2 linked regions of the Struthio camelus genome follow. Each later gene encodes a partner of the first gene's protein in a complex. Links are inferred from orthologs where the notes say so. Each region holds a gene or a part of one and is shown in the gene's direction. Other genes may lie near its edges.

Region 1 (8,174 bases):
CCTGAACACCTGTTTATGTGTTCTCCTGAACTGTCATTGTGTACACAGGAAATATCAAGTCCTCTCTTTTGGTTAGTGTTGGGACGTAGATATTTGGGGTGGAGGCGAGGTGATACCCAGAGTTCTTTCTAATAACTTTTCATAAAGCCTATGTAGCAGACAAAAGGGGAGTTGTACTGCTACCCTAATACTTCTTATCTGGAAGAGAAAAGATGTGATTTACATAGGCATTTGTGACATTCTAGTTCTTGCTACTGCTCTTCATTTCATGGACTGTGGATAACATTCTGGGTGACAGATTACATCAGAAATACATGATATAAAGCATTGATGCAGTATTACTCTGTAGCTGTTTACCATAACCAAACCACAGCAGAAGCAAGGAGTTACTCCAGTGAAACTCATTAAACTTGATTTCTGATGAGCCTTCCCCACCCCCCACACCATGTTTAGAGCAGGGCAGGAACTGATGGCCTAGAAAAAGCTCTTAGGGTGCAATCTGTAACCTCTGCAGGATGTCCTGCCTCTGCATCCTCTAGCACTCTGTACCTCCCTGCTGACAGCACAAATATCTTGGTAGCTGCTTTCAGTCAGGGCTATGCCCTGTCTTCCCATGCTGTATGTTATTCCCCCTCCCATCCCCCTGCCCAGCAGCTTCTCTACTATCTGAAGTGAATGCCCAAATTGGCAATTCCTCTGGCCTTTAACAGCTTTTTTTAACTGATTCTGTGTTTTGCATAATATTAATGTAATGCTGGTTTGCTGTTTGCAGCATCGTTATGTTCTATTTCATTGCCTTGGCTGAAGCACACAAACGAGTTGTTCAGCAGCTGAGGGAACAACTGGTTATGGTGAGATTAGACACATTACTTCTTTTTTTACTGCTTAAGTTTTCTTTGTGTGTTGCATCAGTGATCAGGAGCGCAGAGGAACAGCAGTTTTCTTAGTCTTCCAATTATTTGGTGTTTGGACAGGCAATGAAGAAAGTTTTACAAGTTATACAGGAAAAATCCCAAGCACTAAAGCATTCTTCAGTCTAGTTGGTTTACTTGGGTATCAGCAGCAGCTGGAGCAAGGCCCAGTTATGTCAGCCCACACACGTGTGGGACAGGATGCGCCCCTATGGTGTGGTGCCCCTGTTCTTTACCCACGGTCTTGCGTATGTTTGATCCTGCCAAAGTAGAACCTGAATCTTGTGCCTTCTGCCCCCTCCGCCATTTTACACAACCCCCATCTCTTACCGTCTCCACTCTCGCAAGCAAGAACCTCGTTTTTCCTACCTCGTCGTATTTGGTCTGTTTTCTGAGTGGAGGTCCCAGTACTGCCTGCAACAGATACTCTAGGTACAGCGAGAGATGGAGCAAGTCACCGCTAACAAATCTTTCTGAAAATGTTGCCAGTGCAGATATGCTTATTTGCAGGCCATCAGAGGCTGCTGCCATGCACCAGTTTGATAGCGTTCACATGCTGTGTTCTGAGAAGCTGTGCTGAAGCCAAAATCTAGCCTTGCTAGTAAGGCTTTCAAAGCTTTTTAGGAAGTAGCCCCTCTTTTACTGTATGTTAAATATGGCATTTAAATATGGCATTGTAAGAAAAGCAGTGGGTTCAGCGGAGATATTGAAGAGTAAGTGATTTTGGAGTGAAATTCTTGCTGCTTTGTGAAGGACTCCTATCTGGACTCCTATCTGGACTCCTGTCTTGGCAGTACAATTTTAAAGTTTTATGTGTGTGTCGGATGTTTTTACTAGGCCCAACACAGAACTGTTAACGTGACCTAACGTGAGGTGAATGAAGTCAAGACCGTTGTAGACCTAAAATTGTTTAGACAGCTGAGAGAGTGTGGGGAGCCACTAATCAGCTTAGCATGTAGTGAATACGCTGCTCTGTTTCTCATAAAGACATGAGTTGAATAGAGGTCATTTGTAGTTCCTTCTTCTGTTTATCTAAAAGGCGTATGTTTTATTCTGTCTTTCCAGGAGAGTCGTGACAAGCTGTTCCTAATCAGAAAGATAACAGAAGCTCAGAAGCATACTTGAAAACCCCCCAAAAAACAGAACTTGACTTTCTGAAACTTCCAGAACCACTAGATAAGAGTAGAAATGTCTACAGCACTTAAACCGAATAGCTGACGAGCACCTTGACTCTGCAGTCTATGTAATGAATGTTTTACGTTCTTAATGTTGATTAAGCTAATGGGGCTTAAAAGTTACCCAGACTTGAAATTTAACTTACTTGTACTGTATTAGCCCTGTCCAAAAAATTCAATGGTAGGATGCTTTATTGCTGCTAGAGTTTCAAGGTTGTCAGTGTTTATGTTAAATCCCAGTATTTCTAGGGATTTTGGGTAAAACATGCTCAGAACTGAGATTCCGTTCAGAAACTCTCTGAAGTGCTTTTATAAATTAAGCTTAAGAATTGGTGGGGAGGAGGAGCGATTTTACATGTTTGCAACTCATTTCTCTTTTAAAACCAAAGCAAAAGAAACACTTAAGTCAGTATTTTGAAATAGTGCATTGGAGGGAAAATACTGCATGAGTTTTAAATCAGTTTTCTAAGTATTTCTCTAAATTTTAGAGAAGAGGCTTAGACCTTTTGCTCTGAAGTAGCAACTGCAGTTGAACACTAGATAACTGACGAAAATGATTTAGGAAAAAACAAGCAGATAAAAGAATTCTGAATAAATGCTAGAAGAAACCACCAGTTGTCTGAACACGGAGGGGTGTACATCTCTAACAAAGGCAGTCAGTGGCTGTGATACTAGTCCTGCTGCTAGGGATTGGCCTTTGTTTAAACACGTAAGGCTTTCTTGCAGTTTAGTCTGCCCACAAACATCTGGAATACTATTCTTTCTGTTCTAAAATGTGAATGCTGGAGAGTTTAAACAAGTCATTTATAATACAGAAATATAACATTCAGAAACTTTCATGTGCCCGCACCCTTTACGTTCACCGTGATTCTTACCCCCGAAGTGAATCGACGGAGCTGTGTGCCTCTGAGATCAGTATTTCTAAGCAGCCTACTGGGTTTTTTTTTCCTGTATTTGAAGACTGTGGTTCTGTTAAGGATTTTCTGTAGAGAATTCTGGTTGCGTACATTTCTTGAAAGCTATAGTGTAATTAATATGTGAGATGTTGTAGTCTTGTTGTATAATGTTTTGGAAATTTTTTTCTATCTTCTTTTTCAAGAAAGTAACATGCAATAAACGACTCGATTTTTCTTTTTTAATAATGCAGTGTCCGGGGCTTTTATTGAACACTGGAGGTGAGTTGACCTGCGGAGGTTGCGCCCCTCCGTCTTCCTTACCCTCTGGAGGCGGGCAGTGCCTCCGCCGAGTCTGGGCGCAGGGCCGGCGCGCTGCGCCAGCGCGGGCGCTTCTCCGCGCCCGCTCCCAACGGCGGGGCGCTGCCGTTTCCATGGCAGCTGAGCAACGCCGGCCCTGACTGACAGCTCCGTCGCCCAGTGCGGAGCCGCCGAGGAGCGCCGGGCAGCCAATGGGAGGCGCGATGGGGCGGGGCGAGGGAGGAGCGCGGGCTACGGGCCGGCCGTTGGCGATGACGTTACCGCCGGGCGACGCGCCCGAGGAGGCGGCGGGGTCAGCGGGATGGCGGCGGCGCCGCCGGTGCTGCGGCGGTCGCTGGGGCGGTGCCGGCCGCTCTGCGGCGGAGCCGGTACGGCCTCGGCCTCGGGGCGGCTCCGCGCCGGGCGCCGCCGTCCGCAGCAGCCGCGCGCCGGGGCCCTCCCGGGGCCCCACGCTCCCGCCCGTGGCCTCGGCTTCGCCCCCGGCCCCGGCCCGGCGGCGGAACTCGCCTCACGCGTGTCTCTCCGCAGGTCTCGGCGGCGGGTGGCGCCCGCCCGCGAGGGGCGCTTCGGCCCGGCGCTGCAGCACGGGGGTGACCCCGGACGGCATCAACAAGGTCGTCGTGGACCGCATCATCCGCGTGGACCACGCCGGGGAGTACGGGGCGAACCGCATCTACGCGGGGCAGATGGCCGTGCTGGGCCGGTCGGCGGTGGGGCCGGTTATTCAGGTGAGCGGGCTGGAAAGCTGCCGCCTCGTTTCTTCTTTACTTTGCTTTTGTTTAACGGTGGTCGAACAAAGCGGTAGGGCCGTAGCCTTTATAGCAAGGTGGCTAGTTGTGTATGTCTTTCTAAATGGCTTTAAACATGTGTATTCATAAAGAGTGCTTGCATTACTTGATTAAGGGAACTATAACTCAGATATTTGCTGATATTTTTATGTTGCCCGTTTGTAACTATCCTTATTTGCCCTTCTTCCTGTTTCCTTTGTATGTTGTGAATACTTACCTGTAAAGTTAGTGTGGGTGACCTGAGCAACGTGTTTATTTCTGTTCTTGCTATTAGTTTTATTTAAAAAGTCTGCCTTTTTGGTGTTGCGCTTTACTATGATTTGGTTCTGTTTCAGCAAATGTGGAATCAAGAAAAAGATCATCTGAAAAAGTTTAATGAACTAATGGTTGCATACAGAGTTCGACCTACTGTTTTATTACCTTTCTGGAATGTAGCAGGCTTTGTTTTAGGTGAGCTTCTACTATTATTATTGTTTTATGAATTCTTTGAATGTATAAATTATTCATGTTGCTTTGAATTTCATTGTTTGGATTTGTTTGTACCACAATCATAGGGGCTGGAAGTGCTTTACTTGGAAAAAAAGGTGCAATGGCTTGCACAGTGGCAGTGGAAGAGAGCATATCGGATCACTATAATAGTCAGATCAGAACTCTTATGGAAGAAGATCCAGAAAAATACAGAGAATTATTGCAGGTATTTTACTGTGACCTAAAAAGTAGTTTAACAAACTAATTGAATTATGTAATGAGACTTTTTTTTAGAACAATGTGACAGTAGAATTGCAGTAGATCTTTTCGTCCTGTAACTTAAAACTGTGAAGGCAACAGAAACCTTAAACTAAAAGAATGGTTGTTCCTTTAACATGCTAAATTGATCAAACACCAAAATTAAAATATGTTAAATCAACCTCAGCACACTTTCAGTAATTCAGTAATTTTCTTTTGATTGGGAGAATTGTACTTTAATTTTGAATGTTTTTAACTGAAATGAAGAGTTTAGAGTAAAAGAAAATGGGAAAAGTGTGAGGAGTTGTGTGGTAATATTTTGGTTATACTGGATGTGATTATATTATTCAAGCGTTGAATACAGAGTGTGAAAGGAGCCGATATACTTGTTAGGTCTACAAGAAAAATAATTCCCAAGTATTTTAGTCATAAAATTGGGACACGTTTTGTAGGTACTTGTGAGAGAGGACCTGTTTCCACATGCAGCCCATTGAGTTTGTTTGTGCTTTGCTTGCTCTAGGGACTGCATGTTCATTCCCAACTCTCTCTGCTGTTGTTATGCTCAGCTGTGCATAGTTTAGCCTGTGGCCGTGTCTGGTTACTCCAAACTTGTCCTGTTGTCACAGAAACAGTATCTGAAGTAACCCAGCCTGTGCTGATGTGTATGACAGAAATATTACTTATAAAAGTAAAGGCTAATAACCAAAAGGTGCAATATAAAGAGGAAAAAGTTAAGCAGCAAGGCTAGTCAGCCGCCTCCAATTGGAGGAGGACTAAAGATGAAAGTGAAAGAGAATATGAACCCTGTGGGCCGGTGTCTGTAGGTGCTGCAAATTACTAAGCACTTCTAGGTATATGTAGGCATCTTAAGAGAAACTTCCTTAAATCTTTCTGACCCAATTGTCAAAATACAGAAGAAAAATAGTGATGTAATTAAACCTCAGCTATTCTATTTGAAGGTGCTGTTTAATTTCTGCACTAGCAGTGCTCTTTGCCTTTGTCTCTGTGAGTTTGTTTTTTGTGCTTCACTTGCTGTTGGAGTCTCTTCACAACTTTTTTTGTCCTCTGTCTTGTTCTTTAGCGTATGCTAGAATGGACGAAAGCCCTGCTGGCTTACAGGGGAACAAACACCCTTAATAAAATCTGGCAAGGCAGCGACGTTAATTTTTTAATTTAATGTGTCCGAGTAACTGTTGTATGTGTGAAGCTAATTAGCATTGCAAGTTACCCTTGACTACAGGTTTTCCTGAAATAGTGGGGAAAAAGTTATATTTTAGATTAACTTTCTAAAGATTTTTCAGAATATTAAAATAACTTTAGGTTTGAGGGATGCTGTAAGCCTGGCAGGACAATTCCTTTCTCAATGAATTGGGGTTTCAGGTCTTTAAGAAGCTGAACGTTTTTGAGAGAGACCTGGGCCTCAGATGCCGACCCTGGTGCATGCAGTGGCCAAAAGCATGTGATTTTTGTATTCTAGCTGCCTCTTTCTCTGTACAGTAGACCTACTAATGACCTACTATTTTTAAAGATAATAAAGCAATTTCGGGATGATGAACGGGAGCACCATGACATTGGGCTCGAGCACAACGCAGAGTCAGTAAGTATAGTGTTAACTCGTTAGTGCTGTTAGCAGGGATCTAGGTGTGATAATCTCCCATATCCAGTGACTGTGACATAATTCTTCATGTGAGGGAAGAAAAAAAAAAAAAAAAAGGTTTGATAGTCCTTCCTGAAAATAGGTGCAAGATAACACTGAAATGGCACTGCATCTTATAGCTTTTTTTTTCCCCGTCTAGAATAGAATTGAATCTGTTGGAATTTATGTGTAATATTAAAGTGATTTTTGCTTTCCTGGGAAGTGTCCCCTGCTCAGATTTAAAGTGTTTATTTAGCGTTATATTGAAAATATTTAATCTAATAAATATTACCCATACAGCTGGGAAATTGAGGCATTGTCTTGATAGACAAACACAGCCGCATTAGGAAGGATGAAATGCTGAACTAAATTTTATGCTCATAGGAGGACTGTGTGACTTCCCAACTTCTTTCTCTTGATTTGTGGAGAAATAGAAAACGTTCTGCTAAGTTGATGTTGATTTAGTTTTATCTAGGGTGGTTGAAATTACAAATATAGTTACATTATTAAAATAATGCTTGCTGTGGCTTATCACAGATTAGATTCAAACAAAACATGTTATTGGAGTGTTAGATGTATGTAATCTTTTATTCTTTCTTTTACAGGCACCAGCTTATTCAGTTTTGAAGATAGCTATACAGCTTGGATGCAAAGCTGCTATATTTTTATCAGAAAGAATTTAATGATATTTTCCGTAGCGATTGTGGTAATAAACTACGACACAAAAATGTGTGAAATCGTGGAAGAAAAATAGTCATTTTATACAGCCTTTTAAATTTTTCTTCACTAAGCATCTGATTAGGCTATCCTTTCTCATATTGAGTACCCGTTCAATAAGTATCTGCATTAAGGTCAGTGGAGCTAAATGTGAGCGAAGATGACAGAATTGGGTCCATACGAACTAAACCTCCTAATTCTGAAACTGTTCACAAGGTGGCAGTAAAATATATATGTATATACATGATTCATACATATATAAAAATGGTAAATGTATTCTCCCTTACCTTCACATTTATATTTATTTGAAGGAAGCTGGAGCTCATTTTAAATTAGTTGGTACTGACTAAGTAGGATATTTTTGAGTTCTGTTTGAAGGGTAAGTAAATGAAGTCCTAGTAATTATTTCTTTTCTGTCTGTCTTGAATAAAGACTGGTTATTATAAGACTTCCATTTGAATACTTTTTTTTGGTGTTTTTAGGGTCACTTCTCAATTCCTTATTTAATCAGAAATTCTATATACCTGATTTTATCCTGAGTATGCAGAAGGAGTGGACCCCTGATGTGAAGCACGTGGGCAGAGCAGTGTAGACCACCTGTAGAATCTCATCTAGTATTTTGTTACAGCTTTCAGCTTTATCTCCCTCTGTATCTAGACTTCAGTGGCTCTTGAATAAGGACTGTGGCTTTCCTAGTGTAGGAACAATTTCCCCCTGTTTCCTGCTGGCATCTTGGTGTGGAGCAATAGAAATACACAAGACAGTTCTGCCTACCTGCTCTGTTAAATGCTGACCAGAGATGACAAAATACAGACAAGAAAATGGCAATGAAATTAGTATGTCTTACACTGGTAAGAAAAGAGACTTCCCTTAACGTGTGTCTGAGAGCCTGGGGATAGAAACTGTTAATGGTTCCAGGCAGGCAGAGAGAGGGATTGGTTTGTGACTCCGTTTGCTATTATTTTAAAACATGATAGATGAAACCTGTAGGGAGTTACGAGTTGCTA
Region 2 (3,600 bases), on another chromosome or scaffold:
TACTGTTTCTAACACGGACAGTTTGGGGCAGCGAGGCAGGACTCAAGCAGGACATTGCCCGCCGACCTTCTGGGCCCGCTCAAAGCCATCACGTACCTTAGTCAGATGGCAGTTGTACAGATCAGTGAGCAGCTTGTTCCCGTGGCCTATGCCAAGCACTGAAACACAAGAGACAGCGGAAACCGTCGCACGTCACTTCTGCGGAAGCACCGATGCAGCGCCGCACACCTATGGCACTTCCCTTCCCCCCCTCCCATGGACGGAGGGGACAAACCTCTGCCTGAGAAACGCCGTCAGACCCCCACCCCGCGGCCGGACTTCGCTTTGTCCAGGACTTTGCACCCGGGGACCACAAGGCAACGAGCTCAGCAACGCCGGCCGCGGCGGGCCCCCCTCGGCCGCCGGGGCAGGGCGAGCGGCTGGCGCAGGCCGTCGGCCGCGGCGTCGAAGCTGCGCGAGGCGGCAGCGCCGCCCGCACGAGGCGTCAGCGCCGCTTGAGGCGTCAGCGCCCTCAGTCCCGCCCGCCCGAGGCCTCAGCACCACCCGCACGAGGTGTGGGCGCCGCTCGAGGCCTCGGCGCCGCTCCGCCTCGGCTCCCGCCGCCCTTCCGCATTCGCGCTCGCCCCGAGGCGGCGGGAGGCCCGGGGGTGTCGAGACCCCCCCCCACACGCCCCCGGCGAGCGAGGCCCTTCCCGGGCGAGCGCCCAGCCCAACCTACCGAGCACCCCCGAGGCCTTCGCGTCCAGCCGGTGCCCCGCGCCCATCCGCAGCCGCCGGAACCTCGGGCCTGTAACTGCAGCGGAGGGCAGGGGGGGTCGGGGCCGGGCTCGCCGCCCCCGCGTGTCCCGTCCCCCCCCCCCCCCCCGACGGCTCTTACCGAGGGGGTGCTCGGCCAGCACGGGCACGCGGGTGGCCACCAGCCCCGGGGCCGCGCCGCCGCCCGGCAGGAAGCGGACGTGGAGCGGCGGGGGCCGCCGCGCCGCCGCGTTCAGCTCTGCGGGACGGCGAGAGCGGCGGTGAGGGGGGGGGGCCGCCGGCCGCCCCCCCCCCCCCCCGCCGCCGCCCCCCGGCCCCGCTCACCGCGCAGCAGCCGCGCCTCCACGGCGCCGCGCACGCCGTCCCACGCCACCCCCGGCGGCTTGTACACGGCGAACAGCCCCGACGGGAAACCCCGCGCCGCCGCCGCCGCCATCGTCCCGTCCCGCCCCGCGCGGCCCCGGCGCTTCCGGGCGCGATGCTGGCGGGGCTGCGGCGGGCGGCGGCGGCGCGGGCCCGGCTGAGGCCGGCGGGCGGCGGCTCCCCAGGCAAGTGTCCCTGGCGGGGCCTCGTCCTGCCGCCGCGGGCCCCTGCTCGCCCCGCGGTTGGCCCCCGGCCGCCGCCCCCCTCGCCGGGCAGCCCGCAGGCCCGGGGGTAGGACCCCTGCTCACCCGGGGGGGTTTTTTTGGGGGGGGGGTGCCCGCCGCCTCGGCGAGGGCCCTTTGCGCCCCTCGGGCGTCGCGCCCCTCGGCGGGGCCTCTGCTCGAGGGCCCTTGCGGCACCCGGGTGACAAGTCCCCCAGCAGGCAGCCGGCAGGCCGGGTTTGGGGCACTTCTTGCCCTGTTTTGGGGTGCCCACCACCTCCGTGAGTGCCCTCATGGCAGCAGGGAGCCGGCAGGACCAGGTAGGACCTTGCTCAGCCATTTTTGGGTGCCCACCACCTCTGTGAGTGCCCTCATGGCACCTGGGTGACACATCCCTCATCAGGGAGCTGGCAGGACCAGGTAGGACCTTGCTCAGCCATTTTTGGGTGCCCACCACCTCTATGAGTGCCCTTATGGCACCTGGGTGACGCGTCCCTCATCAGGGAGCTGGCAGGACCAGGTAGGACCTTGCTCAGCCATTTTTGGGTGCCCACCACCTCCGTGAGTGCCCTCACGGCACCCAGGTGTCGCACCCCTCACCAGGGAGGCGGCAGGCCCAGGTTTGGGGCACTTCTTACCCTGCTTTGGGGTGCCCATCGCCTCCACGAGGGCCCTCTCCACATCCGAGTGACGAACCCCTCAGCAGGGAGCTGGCAGGGCCACCCGCTCACGCAGCCCTCCGGGGCCCTCTCTGCAGGCAGGGTATGTCTGAGCCATGCCGAGCCCCAGGTGGCTGCGGGGCGCCCCGCGGAGGACGGACGTGCGGAGGAGCAGGACGGGTGCTACCAGCTGTACCCTGGGCACATCCCCACCAGCCCGCTGCAGAAAGCGCTGCTGGCTGCTGGCTCAGCGGCGATGGCTCTCTATGACCCCTACAGACACGGTAAGCCGAGCCAGGGTGGCTTTTTCCACCTGGGATCCTGTTACTTGCATCCTGCAACTGCTGCCCTGTGTCTCTGCTGGGAGTTTCCAGGGGGGGTTTTATTTCTTCTGCTGGGTGAGACGTTTACTAATGGGGAAGGTGCAGGGCTAAGACCTGCCCCGGGGCAGGATGCTGTGGAGGAGAGGGGTGCAGGATTCCCCTGCACCCCCTAAGCATCTCCTGCCAAGCCCTGTGATGCCAACCAGCCACATCACACTCCTTGTTCTCCCAGGCCTGGAAAGAGCACCTCGCACCCGCTCTCACGTCCCTCCCTGTGGGTCAGACCAAGCAGCATAACCCTGAGGTGGGCAGTCCGTCGTTAGCGTTAACCCTGGGTGCCTTTCTTTGCCACAAGCTTCCTGCGTGGTCCTGGCCAATGCGTTGCCTCGTTTCCTCACCTATCATATGGGGACAGCTGGGTGATGTAAAAATAAATACATTGGATGCTGTGTGTCTGCTGCTCTTGGGTCACTGCCCGGTCTCTCTTTCAGACATGGTGGCGGTCCTTGGGGAGACAACGGGCTGCCTTGTCCTACCGAACCTGCGAGACAAGATGAAACACGATCCTGAAGGTTACCGCATCCTCCAGTGCGTCCCTCCTCATCCCTCTCTCTGCGTCCATGGCTTGTGGGGAGGGAGGCACCTGACCAGTGCGTTCCTTGGTCTGTGTGAAGGGCGAGTCCTGCACTTCCTGTCCTAAAAGGGGCACAGGCATTTTGTTAGTTTTAATCCTCCAGTTTGTTTACTTTACTTTATTTTTAACCATCGCAAGAGCTCTGTGGCAAGTCTAAGGGCAACAGCACAAACGTCACTGGAGCCCAGGCCTATTTCAAGCGCTGGTGTCTGTCTGTTCTGCTTTGCTCCTGTAACTGGTAGGCGCCTTCTCTCTTAGCTGTGATAAAATCCATGGATGTGTTTTTTCTCCCCTGTGTCTGCTGCTGCATCTCCTTGCATTGAAGACTTCATCACTTGCTGGTCTGCTTTCCCTTTAGACACTTCTGTACTTTATTTCCGGGTGCCCGTGGCATCTCCCTAAGCTATGAAATAAGGGCAGTTCTCATGTCATTCTTGTTAGTCTTGATCACTCTTGCCTCCATGTCTGCAGGGAATTGTTGAGCACAGTAAGGCTGGGGACAAGGAGGGACTTCCTGAGCCTCTTATTAACCAAGATCATCTTACTGTTTATTTACTTTCCTTTTCCCTTCTCCTGGTTATTTGTTACGCCTGGTGCCTGTGGTATGCTTGATCCCAGCTGCGCCATGAACTGTCTGGGAGAAA

The links. The genes of interacting proteins can lie anywhere in the genome.
Region 2: COQ7 (region 1) and COQ4 share a complex: the UniProt entries of both Homo sapiens proteins name them as parts of the multi-subunit COQ enzyme complex. The link is inferred for Struthio camelus from reciprocal best matches to the Homo sapiens genes COQ7 and COQ4.

Annotation. Positions count from the first base shown.
Region 1 is NC_090956.1:10,260,879-10,269,052, forward strand, and holds COQ7 (5-demethoxyubiquinone hydroxylase, mitochondrial), read left to right. Parts: upstream 1-3,565; 5' UTR 3,566-3,601; coding exon 3,602-3,668; intron 3,669-3,828; coding exon 3,829-4,028; intron 4,029-4,423; coding exon 4,424-4,538; intron 4,539-4,642; coding exon 4,643-4,782; intron 4,783-6,342; coding exon 6,343-6,411; intron 6,412-7,055; coding exon 7,056-7,133; 3' UTR 7,134-7,615; downstream 7,616-8,174. Other genes in the region: TMC7 (transmembrane channel-like protein 7), read left to right, coding at 773-851, 1,977-2,036. UniProt on the Homo sapiens protein: Catalyzes the hydroxylation of the 5-methoxy-2-methyl-3-(all-trans-polyprenyl)benzoquinone at the C6 position and participates in the biosynthesis of ubiquinone.
Region 2 is NC_090961.1:7,544,881-7,548,480, forward strand, and holds the start of COQ4 (ubiquinone biosynthesis protein COQ4 homolog, mitochondrial), read left to right. Parts: upstream 1-1,223; 5' UTR 1,224-1,234; coding exon 1,235-1,308; intron 1,309-2,101; coding exon 2,102-2,283; intron 2,284-2,813; coding exon 2,814-2,910; intron 2,911-3,600. Other genes in the region: TRUB2 (pseudouridylate synthase TRUB2, mitochondrial), read right to left, coding at 97-158, 719-793, 878-994, 1,081-1,192. UniProt on the Homo sapiens protein: Lyase that catalyzes the C1-decarboxylation of 4-hydroxy-3-methoxy-5-(all-trans-decaprenyl)benzoic acid into 2-methoxy-6-(all-trans-decaprenyl)phenol during ubiquinone biosynthesis.